Linked DNA regions of Pelodiscus sinensis. The protein of the gene in region 1 interacts with the protein of each later gene in a pairwise test. Links are inferred from orthologs where the notes say so. Each region holds a gene or a part of one and is shown on either strand. Other genes may lie near its edges. The genes, in order: HPGDS, MELTF and ABHD17A.

Region 1 (8,329 bases):
TGTAAAACACAGTCTCAGCTTTACTATTCCATAGAACTAGGCAGTTTAGTGCTCTTTTTCATGCTATAAACAGCTGTTGTAAGCTGAAATGGGAAAATATATAAAGAGCTTAAAACTGTAGGAAATCATTATCAAAGGAAGCTAAGCCTAAATCAGTTCATTGCATTACCAAATGCATCGTTTTAAACTTAGTGGTATAAATCATTCCAGTTTCAGGAATCTAGTATAGTTGCTTTATTGTCCTCAAATAAATTAAGCAGCTATCACTTGGACTGGACCTGATCAGAATCTATCAGGGAAAGGGATTTTTTTTCTTCAGAATGATGAATCTACTTCATGATCCTGAAGAAAACCCTTAGTATCCTGTGCAATGTTTATTCGTCCAAATAATCCCAATGAAGTTAATGGGAGTATTACTGTACTTGTAAGACTGCATCATGAAGCTCTCCATTAATCCACTGGTATTTCAAAATGGTGTATGTGGAGGAGAATGTTCTACTTTTGCAGGTCTCCTGTGCAAGGTATTGATAGGTTCTTGAAGCATGAACATGATTATATACACTAAAACGGATGCAGAGAACCTCCGACATGCCAACCGCACATGGCTGGTCAGGGTTAGGTGCTGGCGGGCCACCAGTTTGTTAATCAGAGAAGCAGCAGGCACAGAGCCCCACGTGGCTGTGGTTCACTGTTGTCAGCCAATGGGAGCTCTGGGAAGTGGCACCCAAATCTATCCCAAAAATAGATGGCTCACTCAACTTCCTGCAGCTCCCACAGTCTGGGAGAACCAAGGAGATAGAGTATCCCTAGTAACCTCTGGCCCTGTGGTTTCGATGCTCACCCAGGATGTGGGAAATCCAGCTGTCTACTTTGTATAAATAATTGCATGTGGCTGGTGCCCTGGAGTTCTCCCCACCCTGCCCTCTGGACTAAAACATAGGTGAAGTCAATATAGACTGGATGAACAAAATGATCATTCTATATCTGATTTATCAAGTTCTCATCCTCAAAATAAAATGTATACGATGCTTTCAAAAGATGAGCAAGGAAGCTTAAATTCACTACTCTACTCGACACTAAAAGAATGGACTGAATAGAGACTCGGGACATACGATTTATTACAATAATCTGTAACCCGCAATTCCCTGATTTTTGTCCTAACTTTGCAGAGGTTTTAATGGGCAACTTTAACTTAAATGGTCCCTTACACAATGCTGCGACACTGGGAGTACCTGGTCTGATAAAGAAGAGCTATGTGGGATTCAAACGTTTGCATCTCTCACCAACAGCAGCTGTCCAATTAAAGATACTGCCTCACAAAAGAAGTTGGAGACAAGTCTTTAGGAGATAAAATTAAACGTTGTTTTGTGTGTTTTAACAAACCTAAAGGAAATGAAAGGCCAGATTCACAAAACTGAGGTGGCAGTGGTCCCCTTCCAGCATTTGGCCACATGATTTGGGCACTCATCTGGGACATGAAAGACCCATGTTAAAATCCCTGCTTTGGAATAGGGACATTAACCCCTTCCTTTTCTCTCCAGTTGTATGACACAGCCTGACTCCCAGACAATAGGATATTCTGGAGAAAAGCTCTCTCAATCTTTCCTGTTGAATTTGTTCCACTTGGTATAAATAAATATGCCCAGATGTAAATGAATGGGACTGGAAACAATGAGTTCCTGGCTACTCTGCAATACGTGAACTAACCACCAGGCTAGAGTGTCCTTTCTCTGGTCCAATAAATATTGATTATTTAATTATTTATACAAAGTAGACAGCTTGAATGGGAGAGATCTGGTCCAGAATAGGCTTAGGATCCAGGCTGAGGGTCCAGAATGGGCTAAGGGTCCAGAATAAGCCAACTGTTTAGGTTGAGGGACAGCACACTCAGCGGAAGGGTGCAAAGAGGGGTTCAAAGTCCCTGCTCCAGAGCTGGATTTCCCACATCCTGGGTGAGCATCCAAACCACAGGGCCAGAGGTTACCAGAGATACTCTAGCTCCTTGGTTCTCTGAATGGCACCCAAATCTATCCCCAAAATTTCCAAATATTTTATTTTGGACAGTTCTGCAGGAACTGTTTGGACATTTCCAATTTTACTTTTTTTCTGTTGATCATCACAAGTTGCTTAAAAAATACAAAAATAATACAAATTAACAAAATACCATTATTTGACCCTAATCTGTATTTTTTGTATAAAAAAACCAAAGTTTTGGCTGAAAACTGTCACCCAGCCTGAAGTTAGATCACTGTGACTGTGTCTAGACTGGCCAGTTTTTCCGGAAAATCAGCCGCTTTTCCGGAAACCTTGCCAGCTGTCTACACTGGCCGCTTGAATTTCCGCAAAAGCACTGACGTCCTACTGTTAGAAATCAGTGCTTTTTGCAGAAATACTATGCTGCTCCCGTTTGGGCAAAACTTCCTTTTGCGCAAAACTTCCTTTTGCGCAAAAGGGCCAGTGTAGACAGCTGAGATTTGTTTTGCGCAAAAAAGCCCCGATCGCAAAAATGGCGATCGGGGCTTTTTTGCACAAAATCGCGTCTAGATTGGCCACGGATGATTTTCCGCAAAAAGTGCTTTTGCGGAAAAGCGTCTGTGCCAATCTAGACGCTCTTTTCCGAAAATGCTTTTAACAGAAAACTTTTCCTTAAAAGCATTTCCCGAAAATCATGCCAGTCTAGACGTAGCCTGTATGTTTGGTTACTCAGCTACAGAAAGTTGTCAAGTCAAGCATTCAGAAATTAAGAAATGCCAAAATTAAGGTTTATTATGCAACTGGCAAAAACTTTGTGTAGAGAAGCCCTTCACAGTGAAGCCTGACTGTATCAAGCTCCTCTTTCCTGTAAGAGGTTGTAATAGTGACAGTGAGGAGGGAAGAGAGGTAGTGCAGACATTAGAATAATTTCTATAGCGTTCATCACCAACGTGGCAGATGATCAGTGCTGCTTGCCATAAGAATTAGCACATCCTTCATGAAGGTGCCCTGGTTAGTCTTGTCCTCTGTCCCCGTGAAGAAAGCTGATCAACATTTACATATATTAATTAGGCCTCAACCTCTGGCTGTCGTAGGTTTTATGCCTTTTCTTACCGCAGATATCACCTGGTGGCTCTGTTGTATTATGTTCCAAATGAGCTCTGCTAATAGAAATCAGAGACAAGAGGTTCTAATTCAATTAATGGTATCTTGAAAGTGCTATAAAATAGTCACATTTCTTTAGTAAAAATCAAACTGGTTTGCAAAAATGTAGAAGATAGGGGAATCAGTTCACCTGGCTGGTGGTATGTGAAAAGACTGGTCACAAAAAGAGGGGTTATAATTTCAAGGCCAACAAGGACAGAGCCGCACAAGTACACAAAGATCATTCCTCATCCAGTTTGAGAAAATAGGCTGACACCAAATTGAAGAAGTAAAAATAGGCTGACACCAAACTGGTGGCGCAGGGGGTAGCCGTGAGATTTTGCTTAGATTTGGGCAGATAACAATAATGGAAACCTGGGCTCTGAATGTGTGATAGAAACTGTGGTGTGCACAGGAACTGTAAATAATGGCTCAAAAGCAACAATTTTTAGACCCAATATAACTACAATGGTCAGGGTTGGAGGACTTTGAACTGAACAATTCACCTCAGATTGGATTACTATACTGCTTACATAATGGAGATACACCTAAGGCAGCTTGGTGGAGAATGTGGCTTATTTTTGTTAAGATGATCAGGAACAGGTTTAAGATAAAATAATGAGAACTGGAATAAGTGGGGTTGCATCCTTTTACCTAAACCGCAGCAAGCTACTGTGCTGACAAGGCCTTATCTGCCCTCTGGAGGCAAAATAGAGCTAGAGGAATGTCCTTCCAAACATGCTGCTGAAATTTTGGCCAACATCAGCAGTCCCTTTCAACTTGAGAAACACAAATATACAGTAAACAATACCAGACTGTCCCTTCCTTTTAATCTTCTGTTGAACAAGCTATTTAAAGATTAAGTTGCCAGAAAAATGAACAAGAACTTTCAGCACATACTGTTCATGGTAACAGGAGGAGGAGCAATGCTGATAGCAGCTCGGTGCAATTCCTGGTGAATACTAAACTATGCTGTAGGGGACCAGTGGAGAAGATTCTATTTCTTGCTCTATCATCATCACAATAAATAGTAATAAATAATAATTAGCATTTAAAATTATTTGACATTCTTGTAATCCAAGGATCAGAAAGCAATTTTTATAAACAAAGCAGCACCCTCCTTCGCCTCCCTCCCCGGTAAGGTATTGTTAGTACACCCAAGTTACAAAGTAAGACACAGTGAGCCTGAAATGGCTTCTCTAAGGCACAAGCCTATGGCAAGTGAAAGGGATCAGATTCTCAGCCAGTATAAATTATTGTGACTCCACTGACTCAAATGATTAATGCTAGTTAATGTCAGCTGAGGAGCTAGCCTTGAGAGACAGCTGCATTTACCCCCTCCCTTCCGTCCCTAATGATCTAAACTCTGGGACATTTTAACAGAAGACGACCAATTCTTTGTACATATAGTTTGATCTACCTGAATTGCAACAGAATGCAAGTTAAACTTAAGTGGGTGGAAGTCTCCTAATGGTCACTAGTAAATAAACTATCATAGGTGAAAAATGTTAGGTTAAAATTAAGTCTGAGCTAGTGTTTATATGTCTAAATCAGCCTGGCCATCCACTTCCAATAAGTAAAAACATCTGTTTTATGCTTCTGTGCATGCATAAAATTCAGAAGCAATTAGTCAGATTGAACTGGTGCAGATTTATGAACGTTTTCTTAGACTTTTATTGCACTGGTATAAGAGAAATGTACCAAAAGCACTTCATGGTGGCTTATAAAACTTTTGAATTGTATTTATTAATTTTTATTTCTTTTCAGTGCCCACCCCTGCTTCTAATATGGCTGCAGTAATATAACGAATCATTGCATAATTAGAGAAGATACTGGAGGGATTTGCCTAATTTGCAGATAATGTGAGACAGAATATTCATGGCTTCTAAACTTTTTACAGCAATAAGATATGGTTTTATTGCGATCTTTGTTGCACTCTGACCTAGTTTTTTATATTTCCTACAGTTAAACTTTAAATGAAAAGGCTGACAGCTCTCAACCATGAATTCTGTTGGACTATTATGTATGTGATATCTTTAGCTGAGGAAATGATCTGTGTCTGCTACTCTTTAAATGTGTTCCATATGTGAGCATGTGTAAAGAAGCTCATGATTGCACAGTTGGAAGTACTGGGAGTGGTCTGAATATTCATACAGTGATATATAACCCCCGCTCAAACCAGATTAGCATTCAGAGAAATTCCTGTTCGTGGAAGGAAGGATTACACTGACTAGACATTACTGCAATCGAAGTGAGTGATATCTAAGAATTGAATATGACAGAAATACTGACTTCTCTCTCTTCTTTTCAGTTTTCCTTTTCCAGTCTTATTCTTCCCCCTTTAAATACATTACTGCTAGGAGCTATATTTTCCTGCCATACAGCAGGTATTTAACATGTATCATTTTTGCAGTTTTGGGAATTTGATCCAACACAGAACTGAGGGATTAATCGTGCTAGCTAGAGTCGGGTATACTAATTAGTTATGTGCAATGGTTCCTATATATCTATTAGCTTGTAAGTGTATCTCAAACATAACTGCAGTATACCAGCTCTTCTGCCTTTAGGCTTCTTTTAACTGCATATTGCACTGAACTGCCTGGACAATCTAAATTTATGAACTGTAGTTAGTGCCAAAAGGCAATGTGACAGCCTGCTCAGGGAGATAGCATCAGTTAAATGAGGAGGAACGGGGGCTATTTGTATAGATCCATTTTGATAGTCTCGATGCTTTTTGTCTAATAAGAGTTAGAGAGATACTGTAGAAGAGACAGACACATTTAAACAGAAAAATAACACATCAGCCTGAGAGAGCAACTCCCATTCTGAAATAAGTTGTTTCTGAGCCTTTTATGAAATCAAAATAATATTCTTTTATAAATAAAAGCTGACCTTCATCTGTATAAACAGAGTGCTGGAATAATTTGTACAATAGCGTTGCTGAAATCCATTGAACATATTTGTAAACCCTGTACATGATGGAAATCAGTTCAAGACAGAGGTGCTGCCACACCACTGGTTCCAGCACCTCTTCATGTAACCAGCCCAAAATCAGGTTAATGTCAAAGGAATTAGCTGACTATTAAACAACACTAAGCAGTACCTTTGGGCTTCATACTGATTGTTTTCTACGCCGTCCCCTCTCGTCGTTCATCCAACCACACAGACTTGTATCCAATGCAGAATTATTATGGAGAAAGACAAATAGAAAATATAATTTATGTTAGCCGTGTTTCTTTTCTTTGCAATTCAGCCATTGTTATTTCAGAATGTAAATAGATTTTTTTTAATGTTCTACGTCATTTGTAAATATTTGCCCTGACTTTTATCTGACACCTACCTCGATTCAACAAATACACCTGTGCACAAAATCCACATGAGCAAATGTCCTCCACTAATAGCCACTTTCATTTTATAGCAATAACTTTATTGTGCAATTTAACACAAAAAACATTGCATATCCTTAGCCAGAAATATCCTGCCATTGCTTTCTGTGCACTCCAGTTTTACATTTCTGAAAACTCTGCAGTGTCAGCAGCCATTTTGTACTGATTTACTTGCTGAAACTTTTGCAAATGAGGTACTTACTCACTTCTCACCTGGAGATTATTCATTATTTTTCTTGTTCGTAATCTAAAATAAAATATATCTATATATTTAAAATATGCAGTTCCTCTTTGTGTACAGCAAAACATAACACTTAAATTATATTTTTATCTCAGATGTTATATGGGGAGAAAGATGTCTTTCAAACTAAACACACAGTAGATAACACCTACAAAGTGGTTCTGTACAATAAGTTTAGTTTCATATTTCCAGGAAAAAATGACTAGTTTAAGGTTCATGCTTCAGCTGAGTGAATATGTATGTGATTCATTAAAATCATTGCTCTGGGTTGGGGCTGGGATGAGGGGTTCAATATACAGGCTGCCCCCAGGGAGAGAGGACTACCCCAGCTCTAACTCCTCATAGCAGTTCCATGCCAGGTGAGAAGCACCTGTCCATGGCCACTGTAGGTCCAGCAGAGAGAATTGGGAGAGGGGTTCATATCCCCTGGCCAGGGCAGATCCAAGTTCACCTGTCCCCTGTAATCCCCAGTCAGAGGCTACGTCTAAACTGCCGGTTTTTTTCAAAAACCCCGTTTCGAAAAAAAGCAGCGGCCACCATTATGCAAATGAAGCATGTGATATTTAAATCCCGGCTTCATTTGTACTTTCGATACGTCTAATTTACATCCCTTTGCCAACAGAGTGGTGTAGTGTAAACACAGCCAGAGTGAGGAATGCAGCAAATGGTGCACTTTCCTCCTCACTCCCTGATGAAGGAAAACAGCCAGCAATGTTCCCATATGAATCAAGGGGGGGAGCTTCAGTCTGGCTGGTGGGAGGCTCAGGGCTGAGGCAGTCCCAGACTGGGTGATTCTGTCTCTTTGCTATATGGTTTTATGAGAAGCACTCCTGTTCCAGGTACATCCCATTTTCCTGGTGCAACCAAACCCTTATGTTGCTTTAAGTTATCATAAGAGGAATTTAGTGGTTTTAGCTCTTTATTGTTTAGGAGTAGTTCTTGAACATTCAGACACACAGATGCAGAGACAAATTCTCACAAATATATACTATATTATACTATATATGTAGCGCCCCCTCTCCACCTGGTTACCTTCTTTAAGGCCAATCTGCTTACAGGTTTTGGTGGACAGGTCTGGGTTCTTCTGGATCCCGCCACCCACTCAACTTTATTTTTTCCAATGGATTTATTTGGCGGTGCCTCCACCCCCCTCACTCCTTCCTGGCAGGGTCACCAGGGCAGCTTGGGCGGAATATTCTAACCGAGGGAGTCCCTCTATAGGGGGGAGAGATAGCTCAGTGATTTGAGCATTGGCCTGCTAAACCCAGGGTTGTGAATTCAATCCTTACATGGGGCAAAAATTTGTCAGGGATGGTACTTGGTCCTTCTGTGAAGGCAGGGGACTGCACTCAATGACCTTTCAAGGTCCCTTCCAGTTCTAGGAGATAGGCAATCTCCATTAATTTATTTTATTTGCCAGATAGTTGGAGACTCCCAGAAAATAACACAAACACATACACTATAATAAACACAATTATATTAAACAGGAGACAAAAATAACAGAACAGGGTAGAACACTATTTTTAGGGTCACCGGTGCCCAGCAACTGTAAGGTCAGTGTCCTGTTGGTACACGTACTTTGTTG
Region 2 (7,474 bases), on another chromosome or scaffold:
GGGTTTTTTTCTTCTAAAAACTCTCTAGCTAAAGAAAAGAAACCGGGGGGACGGGGGGGACATGTAATCTTTAGTGCTGTAATATCTTAAATTTTTATTATTAATTTTTTAAAAAACATTTAATGGTATATTTGCCTGGTACTTAGCAGGCTGAGGTTTTGGTTTACCAAACCCCAAAACTACTTAATACACATTAGTGTTGGACCATAACAGGTTATGTAAACACCTTTGGCCTATTTATTCCACCTGAAGTTAATATAATGTGGCTAATGTGATGCTAAGAACAGGAAGAGCCTTGCAAATCCGCAGATTGTGCTTTATATCCGCCAGTATCTGCTTCCACAGATGTGGATGCTCATAGCCTGTTTTTGTGGATAAGAGTTGTGACAGACCCAGACCAGCTGGCTGGCACACACTAATGGAGGAAAGGCATGCTGTGGCTTGGGTGACCAACGTTCTCTTTCTGGAGTTAACAGAGCCAAGCCTAGTGCAGCATTATCATGTAGGCACCTGGGGACAATTAGAGCCTGCTGGAAGCTACAGGCAAATTAGACCCCTGCAGCCAATTAAGCCCTATGGAGCTGCTTTAAAAGGTTCTGCCCAGGTAAGGAAGGGGGAAGGAAAAAGTGAAGGGCTGAAAGGAGGAAGTGTGTGTAGACAGACACACACACACATGTTATTTGCCTCTCTGAGGTTCCTGAAGCATACAGGACAGAGAAGGAGCAATAAAATCAGCATAGTCTATGCTGGCTCATCTGATCCTGAGAAGCTGAAAACATAGATATGAGAAAAGAGCGATTAAGGCAATAAGCTGACCTCGAGGCTGCGAGAACTGCCCTGGCTAGCACCTATGTTGATACGATCACACACAGTCGTCCCTGGGAGAGGACTCTCCCACTGAGAAAAGAATGCCCAGTACTTCCAATTTAGTTCTCTCTCTTACAAGTGTAAATTAAGTTCACAACTCCCTTGTAAGAACTGGCGCCACAAAGACAGACCAGTACAATTTGGCATCTTAGATAAGAAAGAGGATACGGGCCCCTATGGGTATAAAGATGGGTCCAGCAGCACACTTACTCTGAGTGTCAATCTACCATCTATCTGTTCATTGGGTTAGGTGTTTGACCTCCCGAGGTTCCACTGGGATGCTCACCTCGTATTCGTCTTTCCTAGGAATTGAGGGACCGGCCCTGGCTTGACCCACTGGAGTCGAGAGGTACAGAAGGGGGTAAAAATTGTACTTGGATGTGCCCTTTGTCTTAAGTGTACACATAGATTTAGAGCTCTTTAAAGATTAAGCTGTCACTTGGTACCATTATTTCTATTTTCTATATTTTCTTTGTAACCGTTTTTAAGATCTATATTTGCTAGCAGTTAAGAAATAGAGCAGTAGCCATTGTAACCATATGATTTATAGGCTTCTTTAATAAACCTGTAACTGTTTAAGCTTTAACCTGACTCCTTCAGTTGCTGTAACAGAACCAAGCACAATTTAAAAGAACTTCAGCCAGTCATAAGGGACAGGAATAGGAAGAGCTGGGGCGTTTTGGTTCGTGTCCCTCCCAGGGGACAGATCCATTGGGGCATCTCTCAGTCTTCCCTAGAGTGCCCGCTGCGAAGGGATCCTGTATCCTAGCAGCTGAAATCTGAGATGTAGTAAGCTCTCCTTGTAAACTCTGGGGCGTCTGTCAGCCTGTTGGCTGCCCTCCGCAACGGGACCCCGGTCCTAGTGGTAAAGACACAGACATTAAACCTTCTCTCTCTCTCTCTCTCTCTCTCTCTCTCTCTCTCTCTGCCCTGACCGTCGGCTGACAGAGTGGTGTGTGTAAGAGCTGAGGACTGAGGCGCAGGAACTAGAGGAAAGGTGCTGGGAGGGCTCATTTGGGGAAGCAGCCCAAGGAAAAGCTGCCAGATTGGGAGTGGCAATAACCTTGCCTGTTGCCACTGCCGTAGGGTCCCTGGACTGGAACCCAGAGCAGTGGCTGAGCCCGGCTTCCCCCCAATCTCCCTATGCAACCAAGAGTCTGCCCCTGAGAAGGGAGACCAGCACTCCAAAACAGGTTTTACCCCAAAACTATGAAGTAGCCTGTGATGAGTATACAACTCTGCAAATTTGCAGCTCTCCACTATATCCTCAGATGTGGCTATCTACAGCTCATTTTTACAGATGCAGATACAAATTTTGTGCCTTACAAGCCATTGGATGGTGCAGAGGTGGCTTTGAAGGAATGGGTGACACTGAATTACCTATGTGGGCTTCCCTACACAACAGAGCTGAAATCGCCTTCGATGGTAAAGCTGCAGACTGCACTGACTTGCTAGAATCCTTGGACTCCCACCAACCCAGTATAACAAACTATGAGGAAGAGAAGAGGAAAGTGACTAGAATGTACCAGCCCCACTCAACTTCAAGAAAAAGATGTAGGTTGTAACCTACTCCTGGGGAAGGGCAGGGAGTGTGTTTAAATTAATGACTGCCGGCCCTCTCAAGTTCAGTGTCATCCCCCTTTCATAAAGTTTAAGTCCTGTGGAATCAGTGTATGTAAGTGGGGAAGTATTGCTATCTAGGGAGCAACAGGTAGTACAGCTAGTTCCCAGGTTTCTGAGTAGCAGGTTGAGCAGATGGTATTTAAGCATTCACAAGGAACCCTCCAAACCCAGCTCCTCTTGTTGTTGACAGCACAACTCTGAAGGGTTATATCAATATTGATTAACTGGATAACATTCTATGCAATTTTATAGTGAATTAGATTCTTTCTATAATCATCTTGCAGAAAGGAGAGAGAATTCTCTTCTAATTTTCTTAATCAATTTGCTATTACATGGGACGTTTCTTCAGCACATCACGTGCCACCTACCTACAGGGTGCTTAAAGACGTCTTACTTGTGCTAAATTTTGTTTATTAGTTGTGTTTATTCTTAATCAGATGGTAGCAACACTGGATTATATTCACAAAAATATTTAGGCAGCTAGAAAATAACTTGATTCATGAGGTTTGAGTTAGGCACCAGGGCACTCTATGCAATGAAGGGGGTGAGGTATTGGCTGAGAGTGGGATTCACACAAGCCAATATGTTAAGTGGCACCCTGCCTAGCCCAGCCAATGAGAGATGCCAAGGTAAGAGTTGTCCTAAACCCTGTACTGCTTGGGCAGTTTGGCACCTAAAACTGGGCTGCTCCATTTGCTTGGGTTTCCCAGTTGTTAACCCTGCTCTTAGAATTAGGCACCTATGCTGTTTTTGCAAGAAGCCTAGGGGAGGAATAATTTTAATCCAGTGGTTAGGGTGCTCACCTGGATGTGGGAGAATCCCAGTTCAAGTTCCCTTCCACCTGAGAAGAAAGGAGTTGAATAAGGATTTGCCATGTCTCTGGAGCATATACTAACCAGTGAGCTACAGACTAGACCAGGGGTGGGCAAGATACAATTTGCTGGCCAGAGTGGGCCTGCCAAGCCACCTGCCCACGGACCACTCTGCCAGGACCCTCAGGCACACAGCTGCCGCTGTTTTAAGCTCAGAGCTGCTCCATGTGTGTGTGTCTGCTCTGGAGGAAGAGGGAGGCTTTCTGTGATCTCCCTACACTTTATTTCATGATCCTATTCCACACTCATGATTATCGTAAAACAAAAGGAAAAAATATGTAGCACTTTAACAAGATAGCTTATTAGGTTTATTAGTTTATTAGGTGATGAGCTTTCATGAACCAGACCACTTCTTCAGATCATATTCTGAAAGAGAACTGGCATGACCATATATAACAAAGGAATACAATGAAGAAAGTGAATACATTATAAACTAACAAATCAGATTTTAGAACAGAAGGTAGAGAGAGGGAAGGAGGAAATAGTTTATTTTAAGTCAATGAGTGGCTAATCTGAAGTTACTAGGATTATCAATAAGTGGAGAAGCTGTATTTGTAATATGTAAGGTAACTAGCATCTTTATTAAGGTCCATTCGTACCGTGTCCAATGTAAGCATGAATGAAAGTTCTGAAGTTTCTGTAATCTGTGTTAGTCTCTTTGAAGTAAGATGCACATTGTGAGGCCTTCAAGGGAATGCCCAGGTAGATTAAAATGTGGACTAACAAGTTTTTCTTTGTGAAGATGTCGGATGTCTGATTTGTGAGCATTGATTCTTTGGCGAAGTGCCTGAGCAGTCTGGCCAATATACATTGCAGAGGGACACTGCTGACACATGATGGCATAAATCACAAATCATGTTTGTGTGCTGGATGAACAGGAAGATGAGTCCTTGATCATATAACTGACATGGTTAGGTCCAGTGATGGTGTCACCAGAGTAGATATGTGGACAAAGTTGGCGACAGGGTTTGTTGCAAGGGAAATTGTTAACATGTTATTACCAATTTGACCCAGCAGGTGGTGCTAAAACAATGACAGGTCACAATCTCCACTGTCCCAGGTATTTTGTGCTTGGAGTTTGGCTTTCTGTTTGAAGACTGCAATTCATGTAAACGGATGCAGATTTTCCTCTCTGTTTAGAACAGACTGTGTGGTGGAGTGACTGAGAGTAACTGTTGTTTTGCAGTGCACACGTGGCCATGTGAGAATCTTGGTTTCCAACAGGGCGTGGTCTGGAAAGGGGCAGAGTGAAAAGTGTGCTCCATAAAAGTAGTGATTGCTGGAATTCTGAAGGCACTGCATACACACAGACCTCATCATGAGCTTCCAGAGCATGGCTTATTGTTTCTGCTTCTTTCACACAGGTAAGTGCCTGCTAATCTCAAGAGACAATGTTCATGCTGCTGTTTGGTACCTCTGGGACTGACCAATCTGTGAGATGATACAGCACAAGCAGAATGAAAATAATTTCATAATCACTGTGTTTCTGCAGGTGAGCGGGACGTGGTGGGAGAACAGGCAGTTGAGTTAGGGGAAACAAATCATTATTGGCTCCCTTTCATTTGTATCACATATTTGGCCACATTGATTCTGTATCTTCTGTTGGTCCCATGCTGTTTATTCTGGCTGGCTATTTCAGAGGGGATCTTGGACCAACCTGCTCTGCATGAATATTACAGCTTCACATGGCCCATTTTTTGTAGGTGATTGTGCTACTTAATAAAGTGGGCATTTGCTGTAGTGTATTTTATTGTTCCATCATGTGCCTTGGCCTCCCTCTGTACTTTGCACTGTAGTGAGTGCAGAAGCATTAAAAAGCTGCTTGTAGGACAGAGCATGAAACATGAGGAGGTGTCACACAGTGTGGGGGTGGAATGAATGTGGTGCTAAAAACTGACTGAAATAGTCCCATGTCAGAGGAGGGACCAGAGACAACGGGAAACCCAAGGACTGAACAATTCATACTTATCCATGGAAATCTCTGCCAGGTGGGATATGTGAACTCAGGAAGGGCCTGCAAGTGTTGGACAATGGACTGAAATGCCTACGTTGGCTGGAAGGAGAGTTGGCTTTTGGGAGGGCCAGCAGTTTTCAGGGGGGAATAACACTGCTCTGTTCCTGTTGAAGAAATTCTCCAATTTTAAAAAGGCTACCTAGTGTCATGGCTGCTACTTGTTGATCTGGTCCCCGAAGTGTGTAAAGACTCCTGATCAGACTCTCTCAGTTGCACTTGCTAAGCAGAGCTCATGGGTATGAAGCAGGAGAGTTGGCACCAAGAGGTTCAGTCGCAGAAATGTTGCAACCATATGATCTACCCTTAATAACACATGGGATCTCTGGGGCATCTGGCACACTTTTCTCCGAGGGACTGTTTAAAAACTGGGACATAGCATAGATTATGTGGATCTGCGATGCCCTAATATTCCCCAACCTTTTTTGTTATGCATCAGGATTTGTGTTGCTTTTCTCCCACTCCTGAGGTGATTCATTTTTATTATTCTTTTTGTCATTGTAGACCCTAAGCATCCGCGTCATGAACCAGGGCCCCGTTGTGCTAGGCGCTGTACTAACAGGTCAAAAAACTCCCTTTCCAGAGAGCTTACAATCTAAGTACAAGACAAAAGACAACAATAGATGGAACAGACAGAAGGCAGAGTACAAGGAGACAATATTGTCTAAATAGCCAAGCGAGACACTGGGAGCAAGAGGTATAGAACACACAGAGTGAACATGGAGCAGTGGTAAATGGCATGTTAGGTCCACAATTTTGTTTCCTCTTTGAAGGGTGGTGGGGTGTACTTAGGAAGAGATCAGTTAAAGGGAAGGGAGGGGACAAGTATGGAATGAATTTATAGTAAAGAGACTGGAGGGAGCGGAGAGGGGAAGGTAGGGTCGGAGCAAACAGTCAATGAACACAGGGCAGAGAGAGAGAAATAAATGTCAACAGCTCTGTCTGGAATGTCCAGGAGTCCAAAGGTTTGACTGACTGATCAGATGCCTGCTGGCTCGCTATCTCTAAAGCACTTTGAAATCTTTCAGGAAAAAGAGAAGCTCTTGTGTATGTGTAAAATGATCTTGTTTTTTTTCCTCATTGAGAGAGCTCCTGTTGAAACTCCCACAGAATATTAATGTCCCTTAACATTTTCCTGATCCTTTTGTAAAGTGCAGTACATTACCCCACTACTGCACAACACCAGTATTGTTGTGTTGCTAAAGCAGTTGATAGGTTGTTTGACAGTCTGATGCTGAGACTATGCTATCATAGGGCCTAGGAATGTATTTCAAATCGTGGTTACCAGCCCCCACCATCTCAAATTTAGTGTACCTCTGTGGAGCACCAGGAAACTGAGTAAACAGTTCAGAGACTAGCTTGCTGTTTTAACACATGCTTGGCCAACTGTAGCAGAGGACTCAAACCACAAGTCCTCTCTATGTTCCTAGCTCCACCTCAAATGGGTTAACTCCCTCTGGCAGACTAAAAGGCATCCTCTATGACAAGAAGGCACCTGGCCAGATGCTGAGAGAAAAGATGCATTTTAGCAAGAGAGAAATTTCCACTAAGCACCCGTAAGCTGAGTGAGGAAGAAAGAGGTGGCTTCATGCTATTTCATTACATACGCTAAAAAAATGTGGAGCTAGGCAGAGGCCGTTTATTTTTCATCTCACAAATTAATGAGAGTAAAAAGTGATCGTATACCTTGCACAATGAAGTCTTATCTTCACAGACCACTGTATCGGAAACAGGAACACGGCTATTGGAGAATAGCACTTAGCCATATGTTCTAAGGCACTGAGCAATAGTTGGAAATACAATAATTTTGCATTTAATAGAAAAAGTGGAGTCTTTGACTGTGGGATGCTAGAAGCTTCCACAATGAAGGAAAATGACTATCATGAACTTGTACATGGATTAATGAAGAAGACAATGTGCATCCTTGTTCTCCCAAGGTCACCTGAGCTTCCGTGAACTGCTTGATCTCCCGAAACAAGCTATAGTGCCCTGACACAGGACTCTTCGGCTGTGTCTAGACTGGCAAGTTTTTCCGCAAAAGCACCTGCTTTTGTGGAAAAACCTGCCAGCTGTCTACACTGGCTGCTTGAATTTCTGCAAG
Region 3 (7,734 bases), on another chromosome or scaffold:
TTGGCGTCTCCGCTGGCCCTAAGGCGGCCCACCACCCGCCAGGCACCATCCAGCCATTCGTTGAAGAGCTTCAGCACTTGGCGATTGGCAGCAGGACTTTGAACCGCGCTGGGAGGCGCCGCTGTGGGCTTGGTGCTGGGCTGCTCGGATCTGGCTGAGTTCCAGGCTGTCCAAACGCTCTCAGGAGAGCTTGCTGCTAAAACAGCTGGTGGGCCATCCGCTCTGCGCGGGGCTTCTGGCCGTGGGGCATGTGGAAGCAGGAAAGCCCCGGGAGGGGGACGCAGGCCAGAACGTGAAATTCTCTTGCCCAGGTTGAACGGGCTCAGACTCGATCCAAACGATGCCTCCTTGACACGGCTGGCCCTCAAACCGCTTTTTGGCCTATGGGAGGGAGCTGGAATTCGAGGAGTTCAGGGCTCACCTGTTCAATCTCCTCTCCACTCCCTGGGCTCGTTTTCCGAATCCCTGCCAGCATCACAGACCCCCTCTGCAGCCTCGTTCTCCCCGGGCAGAAGCTGGTCTGATGCCTCAGCTACCTCTGGTGGGAAGGGAGGAGGCTGGAGGTGGGGGCTGAGATGCATGGGAGAGCCACATCCTGTGTGTTAATCCTCCACCGCTGTGTGGTTTGTTTCAGCTGACGCTCTACAGAGAGGGCTCCCTCCTTATCCCTCTAGCTTTAAAGCTGGGGAAGCTGATGCCCAGGGAGGAGATGGGGTAGCCCCCCCCCTCACAGCAAGAGACAGGTTCCCTGCTCTAACCACTCTCTCCCTCTCCCTCTCAGTGCTGGGACTAGAACTCAGGAGTCCTGTCTGCCTAGTATGCTGCTCTGCTCTCTCCGTCCCCTCCCTTCCCCCTTGTTTATTTTTACTGCCCACAGAACTCTCTAATCCCCGTCAGGCTTAATTCTCCTTCTGCCCTGGCCTCTGGGGAAGCTCATTCCAAGAGGGAAGGACGCACAGGTGGGGTGGGGGCGGAGATGGTGAACCCTGCAAGAGGCTTACCCAGCACAGGTGTCCATGGCTGCGCTGCGGGCGCAAGGTTAGAAGGGGGCTGGTTGATGAAATGAACGTAGCCGGAGATGGGGCAGGAGTCAGCGACCGTAAGGCCAGAAGAGAAGCCTAATGCAGTGTGTCTCAACCTCTTCTTAGAAAGTACCCTTTTTTAAAAAAATATAAGTACCCCCGGAACCTACAGTTTTCAGACACACACAAGGTTTTTCTACCGTTGCATCACATTTGTTTAAACAACTTCATCATAGCTGGGCGGGCGATGACATTTTTGGGTGTAAAAAGAACAAAAATAATAAAACGCTGTAAAACGCAAAACAAATTCAGTTTTCTCCAAATTTCAGTTGTGTTGATGTTCCCCAGCACAGCCCAGTGGGTACAGCATTGGCCTGGGACCGAGGAGACTGCCCCGCTGTGCGCCAGTTTCCCCGGCTTTGAGAATGGCTGACCCACTAGGCTTTACTGCCCTCGTCCTTAGCCCAGGAAGTGCCTGGAGCCAGGCAGGGCTCAGCAGGCAAAGTCCTGAACTGGCTTTGCGGCAGATCCAGCCGGTCCTCTCCCAGTGGGATCAGAGCTGGGGGCTGCAGGAGAGTCACCGTTGCCTTGTGCTCCAGCCGGAAGGGACCTCCTGCCATCTGCGGTGCTGGGAGCTTGGCAGGAGGATTAGGACTGAGGCATCTGAGACAGGCTGGGTGGGCCAGGAGCCGGCAGCTCCCGTGGGCATCGCTTCGGGCCTCTTTGAAAAGAGGAGCCGCAGCAGGTAAACTCCAGGGCTGCGTCTAGACTGGCAAGTTTTTCCGCAAAAGCGACTGCTTTTACGCAAAAACTTGCCAGCTGTCTACACTGGCCGCTTGATTTTGCGCAAAAGCACTGACGTTCTACTGTCCGAAATCAGCGCTTCTTGCGCAAATGCTTTGACGTTCCCGTTCCGGCAAAAGCCCTTTTCCAGAAATGTATTTGCGCAAGAGGGCCAGTGTAGACAGCTAAAATGGCGATCGGGGCTTTCTTGTGGAAATCCGCATCTAGATTGGTACGGACGCTTTTCTGCAAAAAGTGCTTTTGCGGAAAAGCATCCGTGCCAATCTAGACACTCTTTTCCGCAAATGCTTTTAACGGAAAAACTTTTCCATTAAAAGCATTTGTGGAAAATCATGCCAGTCTAGACGTAGCCCAGGGGTGTATTTAAACTGATTGACACTGGGGCAAAAGGCAGTACGGGTGGGAGGGTATTGGGAGAGCTGTTATTTGTGTGAGGGTAGCGCCTACAGGCGGCTATACACCCAGGTAGTGAGGGACAGTACCTGTCCTCAAGTCACACCCTAAGTAGAACGTACTGGGGAGGCAGAGAATCTACTGGTCCAAAGTCACCCAGCAGCATCAGGAAGAGAACCCAGACACCTCCCTACATTCTAGCCCTGGCTGACATGCACCTGCCCGCCTCAGTTTCCCATTCTGTAAAGCGCCGTGAGCTCCACAGATAAAAAGCTTCAGAAAGTTGCTGTGTGTCATTTTATCCCTGGTTCACCAGGGATGCTGGCTGGATAGTGCCAGCCATGGCCCGGGGGATGCAGCTGGTGGGCTTGTAATGGGGGTCCCCTGCCTCGCACACCGGATGGTGCCCATCATGCTGGAGCCTTTTCTGCTCCCTGCCGGAGCTGAGTGGCCTCTTCTTGAGGAGTTTTTAAAGCAATTGAAGCAGACTCCAGCTTCTGTCGCCCACATTCCTGCACAATCTTGTTCCCAGCCTGCAAATAAGGCAATGGGGAGTAGGGATGGAAGAGTAAACTTGATTAACCGATGAGCAAAAGCTGATCAGTTAATAGGGTTGCCAGGCGCCCGGTTTTCACCCAGACAGTCCGGTAATTGCGTCTTCAATCCGGTAAAAAAATACAGAAAACACTGGATACGTCCGGTGCAATGTCCGGTGTTTTCTGTTTTTCTCAGGCAGAAGGCTGGCAGGGACATTTTTGCCCTGCTGCGTCTGGCAGGGGGAGCAGGGAGTGAGCTCCCCCTCCCCCCCACTCAACAAGTTTGGTCTCTTTTTTTTTGCTCAACCAATTTTTTTCCCTGCCATGTTTGGAATTTTTTTGTGAAAGCATCTGGCAACTCTATTGGTTAATGCCATAGACTACACCCATCTGCCCCCCCCTCCCCTTTGCCAGTACATGTTTTAGCAGGCTGGCCAGCAGCCCGGCTCAGTTCTGGCTTGCACCAGGTCCGGGACCTACCCCTGCTGCGGCTCTGCATTTAAAGTGTAGTAGGAGCCAGTGAGCAGCCCTGCTCAGTTCCAGCTTGTGCCAGGTCTGGGAGCTGAGACCTCTTTCCCCCTCCTTCCCCTGGACAGGGGCTGCTGCCACCTTGCACTGCTGCCTCTGTATCACTTTTTAAATCAGTTCCCCTTGCAGACCAGCTCCTGCCTGGCACGTCGCGCTGCTGCCTCTGATTCAGAGGCAGCAGCATGGAGCAGCAGGGGGCTCCTCAGGCGTGAGCCTGGAGCACACTGGCTGCTGGCCCCGCCCCTGGGGCCTATAGAATAGTCACATAACCAATAAGAATTCAAGAGGTTAATCGACTATTCGATTAACCGATATTTAACATCCCTAATGGGGAAAAGGTCAGTACAGTAGCCCACCACCCCATTTTGCACAGCTTCCAGTCACAGGCGGGGGGAGGGATCCTAGGATAAAGCATGCACACAGCTTGCAGGCAACAGGGGGGTTGGGTGCTGCAAATGAAGCAAGCTTGGGCTTGCAAACGGAGGCAGGGGTAAATAGTTCCGCCAATTAAGCACGGAAATAGCAGCCATGCAAACACTGCTGAGGGGTGGGGGAGGGAGGAATTGCTGCAGCCTATTAGTTATGCATCCAACATACACAAACTGCACGAAGCGTGCACCTCTGGTTGCATACATTGCAGAGAGGGATCACTGCAGCTGGTGCAAGATGCAGTCCCTGCGGGGGAGGAGGGTTGCAGCACATGCATCATGCAGTTCCTGTGGGTGGGGGTGTTGCAGACCAGCGAACATGCAATCTCTGCAGGGGGAGGTGTGGTTGTAGCCAATGGAGCATGAAGTCCCTGTGGGGGGAGTTGCTGCAGCATGTGGAGCATGCAGTCCCTGCGCGGAGGCTGGGTCGTTGCGGCCTGAGCAGCATGCAGTCCCTGCGGGGGGGGGGGGGGGGGGGGGGGTTGTTGCAGCACATGCAGTCCCTGCGGGGGGGGGGGGGGAGGTTGTTGCAGCACATGCAGTCCCCGTGGGTGGGGGTGTTGCAGACCAGCGAACATGCAATCTCTACAGGGGGGGGTGTGGTTGCAGCGCATGGAGCATGCAGTCCCTGTGGAGAGTCCATTGCAGCGCGTAGAGCATGCAATTCCTGGGGGGGGTCGCTGCAGCATGGGGAGCATTCAGTGCCTGTGGGGGGGGGGGTCATTGCAGCGCATGGAGCATGCAGTCCCTGTGGAGAGTCCATTGCAGCGCGTAGAGCATGCAATTCCCGGGGGGGGGGGGTCGCTGCAGCATGGGGAGCATTCAGTGCCTGTGGGGGGGGGCATTGCAGCGCATGCAGTCCCTGCGGGGGGGGGGGGTCGTTCCAGGGCGCGCGGTCCCCGCCCGGGCTCTCTCCTCCCCGCCACGTCTTTGCGCCAGGTTCCTGCTCCTCCTTCCCGGGGGCTTTGCGGGCAGCAGGACTCCGGAGGAGGCGTCACTTCCAGTGCGGGCGGCGCTGCTGTCACATCCGCCACTGGCCGCTCGCAGCGCGGGGCGGAGACTCGGGCTGCCCCGGCCCAGGAGCCTGGAGCGTCCGGGAGCAGCAGCGCCGCGCGCCGGGCCCGGCCGGGAGGAGTCCCGGGGGGGATGCGGGAGGCAGCGCCCGGCTCCAGCTGCTCAGCGCGCCAGCGGGCCCGGCACCGGCTCGGCTCGGAGCGGGGCCCGGCACCAGCCCTGACCTGCCGCCCGCTCGGGAGATTGCAACCGACACGAGACCCAGGTACCCGCCCCTGCAGCCCCCCCCAGCCCCCGGCCCGGCCCCTTGCAGCCCCCCCCAGCTCCCGGCCCGGCCCCTTGCAGCCCCCCCCCCCAGCTCCCGGCCCGGCCCCTTGCAGCCCCCCCCCCCCAGCTCCCGGCCCGGCCCCTTGCAGCCCCCCCCCAGCTCCCGGCCCGGCCCCTTGCAGCCCCCCCCCCCCAGCTCCCGGCCCGGCCCCTTGCAGCCCCCCCCCAGCTCCCGGCCCGGCCCCTTGCAGCCCCCCCCCCAGCTCCCGGCCCGGCCCCTTGCAGCCCCCCCCCCAGCCCCCGGCCCGGCCCCTTGCAGCCCCCCCCCCAGCTCCCGGCCCGGCCCCTTGCAGCCCCCCCCCCCAGCCCCCGGCCCGGCCCCTTGCAGCCCCCCCCCCAGCTCCCGGCCCGGCCCCTTGCAGCCCCCCCCCCAGCTCCCGGCCCGGCCCCTTGCAGCCCCCCCCCCCCAGCTCCCGGCCCGGCCCCTTGCAGCCCCCCCCCCAGCTCCCGGCCCGGCCCCTTGCAGCCCCCCCCCCCAGCTCCCGGCCCGGCCCCTTGCAGTCCCCCCCCAGCTCCCGGCCTGTCCAGCAGCCCCTCCCCGGGAGCCCCCGGCCCTGCAGTCCCCCCCTGCAGCCCCCCCAGCTCCCGGCCCGGCCCCTTGCAGCCCCCCCCCCACCTCCCGGCCTGCCCAGCAGTCCCTCCCCGGGAGCCCCCGGCCCTGCAGCCCTCCCCCCTGCAAACCCCGGATCGGCCCCCTGCAGCCCCTGGACCAGCCCTGTGCAACCGGTCCGGTCCGCTACAATCCCCGGGCCTGCCCAGCTCCCCCGGTCCGGCCCCCGGCAGCCCCCCTTCCACTGCCAGTCCCCCGCCCCGCCCCTCGCTGCCCCATCCCATCTGGGAGCACATTCAGCCCCCCCCCTCTTCCGCGCCTCCCCCAGCTGCAGTCACCTCGCCCCCCCCCCCGAGCATTAGCAGCTGATTTTCCCTTCTCCCCCCGCCCCCCCCCCATCCGGGGAGCTCCCGGTTCCCCCCGCCCCGACCGCTCCGAAGTTGCCCTGCTCAGCAGCCCCGACGCGCCTGCAGGATGTGTGTGTGTGTGGGGGGGGGGGGGGCGGGGTGTCTCGCTGGCTCCTGACGTGCGGGGTGCGGGCCCGTCCCCAGCACCGGAGTGTGTGCGTGTGGCGGCGGGGGGGGAGCCCATTGGCTGGCTGGATTCCCCCCGGCTGAGTCCTTCCCCCGCTTAGTGTCACCCTCCGGGTGTGTCTGGGGACGCAGATAAGTGTTTCTGTAGCACAGACACTGACATGTGTTGGGCCTGCCGTCTAGATAAGTGTGTGTGTGTGTGTGTGTCTAGCACAGCCAGGTATGGGAGTGTAACACACAGTGGCTGTATGGAGACATGTCAGGAGGAGGTGGGGGTGGAGGGTTTATCCTGCATTTCTGAGGTATGGGCAGATCTGGGGGTGAGCCTGGAGTGTGGATGCTGCCGTTCTGTCCTGCCTGTGTGCAGCAGACTTAGGCGTGTGCCTGGGATCCTGGTGGCTGGGTGCAGGACCGTGTATTCTGGCACATGTGTCTGCAAAACACAAGCACAGGTTAGTGGTTGAGCGTGGTCTCTACGCTGCCTGTGGTGTACTGGTGGGTCGGCACACGCGTCCGGTGAAGCAATGCATGCGTGGCCTGCGGACAAGTCGTGCCGCCGCACGTGCGTCTAAGGTCTCTGTTGCGGACGCGTATCTCTGCGTGGACAGGTGTGGTTCTCTAGGTTGTATCTCTCTGCTGGGGGGTGGAATCTCCTGTCTAGCAGCTGCACAGAGCAAACCTCTCCCAGCAGGGGGGAAGAATGGAAGTGAGATGCTGATATTGGGACCTGTTGTTTTGGGGAGCAGTGCGGGGGAGGGGGATAGATGATTTTCCATCTTCCTCCAGCCCCCTGGCAGCTTGTGTTGAGAGGCAGGGGGAGGTCACATCAGAGGCCCAATGCGCTGCTCTTGCATGCACAGGCCTAAATCTGGAGGAACTCCCCCGACTGCACAGCAACTGGGGATTTACACTGGGGTGAGGCTAGAATTTGCTCCTGAATGTAAAACAAGCACCACACTGGGGGAGCGGGAGAATCCATTCATGTTGGGATCCCGGGGGGGGGAATGGGCAGTTATTCGGCAGAGAAATATTTCCATATAAGCCCCCTGTTTCATGCTGAATGGCACAGGCCTCGCGCTCCCTCCACCCTTTCCTCTGCTTTCCCAGCCTTGCAGAAGGAGGGAAGCAGCTGGAGAGGAATTCCTCGGGGTCTAGGCTAGTGGAACATTCCTCCGTTGGGAGGTTCTGCCCTGACTTGCAGGAACCACATTAGTTGGCTGTGCGTTGAGTTCCGCCTCCTGGCTGGGAGCGTGTGCCGCAGAATTCCCGCCGGCGTGTTGGGCATTGGGGAATTGCGGGAGTGAATGTGGTGCCGCGACCGTGCGTATGGGCATCACACCTGCAATATGCTAGCCCTGTGTTCCAGCATCTGAGCTGAGCCTGAGTGGGTGGGGGCAGGGAATCCGGCAGTCATCAGACTGCAGGATCAGGGCCTTGGTGGGCATTGGCTGATGTGTGCTGTGTGGGGTTTGAGGTGCAGTAAGTGTGTACCAATGGGTGTGCATTGGTCAGAGTGTGGCTTCCATAGATGTATGGTACAGCTTGCATGTGGTTGTTGTCAGTCTGGGTGTATGTGTGGTTCTGGGTGCATTGTGTAGA

Evidence for each region.
Region 2: the proteins of HPGDS (region 1) and MELTF interact in binary tests that used the Homo sapiens proteins (3 or more experiments, as listed by UniProt). The two-hybrid records come from large-scale screens. The link is inferred for Pelodiscus sinensis from reciprocal best matches to the Homo sapiens genes HPGDS and MELTF.
Region 3: the proteins of HPGDS (region 1) and ABHD17A interact in binary tests that used the Homo sapiens proteins (3 or more experiments, as listed by UniProt). The two-hybrid records come from large-scale screens. The link is inferred for Pelodiscus sinensis from reciprocal best matches to the Homo sapiens genes HPGDS and ABHD17A.

What each region holds. Positions count from the first base shown.
Region 1 is NC_134715.1:19,156,225-19,164,553, reverse strand, and holds the start of HPGDS (hematopoietic prostaglandin D synthase), read left to right. Parts: upstream 1-5,250; 5' UTR 5,251-5,368; intron 5,369-8,329. UniProt on the Homo sapiens protein: Bifunctional enzyme which catalyzes both the conversion of PGH2 to PGD2, a prostaglandin involved in smooth muscle contraction/relaxation and a potent inhibitor of platelet aggregation, and the conjugation of glutathione with a wide range of aryl halides and organic isothiocyanates.
Region 2 is NC_134720.1:55,816,716-55,824,189, forward strand, and holds the start of MELTF (melanotransferrin), read left to right. Parts: upstream 1-4,413; 5' UTR 4,414-4,680; coding exon 4,681-4,726; intron 4,727-7,474. UniProt on the Homo sapiens protein: Involved in iron cellular uptake. Seems to be internalized and then recycled back to the cell membrane. Binds a single atom of iron per subunit. Could also bind zinc.
Region 3 is NC_134729.1:28,056,086-28,063,819, forward strand, and holds the start of ABHD17A (alpha/beta hydrolase domain-containing protein 17A), read left to right. Parts: upstream 1-4,700; 5' UTR 4,701-4,990; intron 4,991-7,324; exon of another isoform or gene 7,325-7,455; intron 7,456-7,550; exon of another isoform or gene 7,551-7,572; intron 7,573-7,734. UniProt on the Homo sapiens protein: Hydrolyzes fatty acids from S-acylated cysteine residues in proteins. Has depalmitoylating activity towards NRAS. Has depalmitoylating activity towards DLG4/PSD95. May have depalmitoylating activity towards MAP6.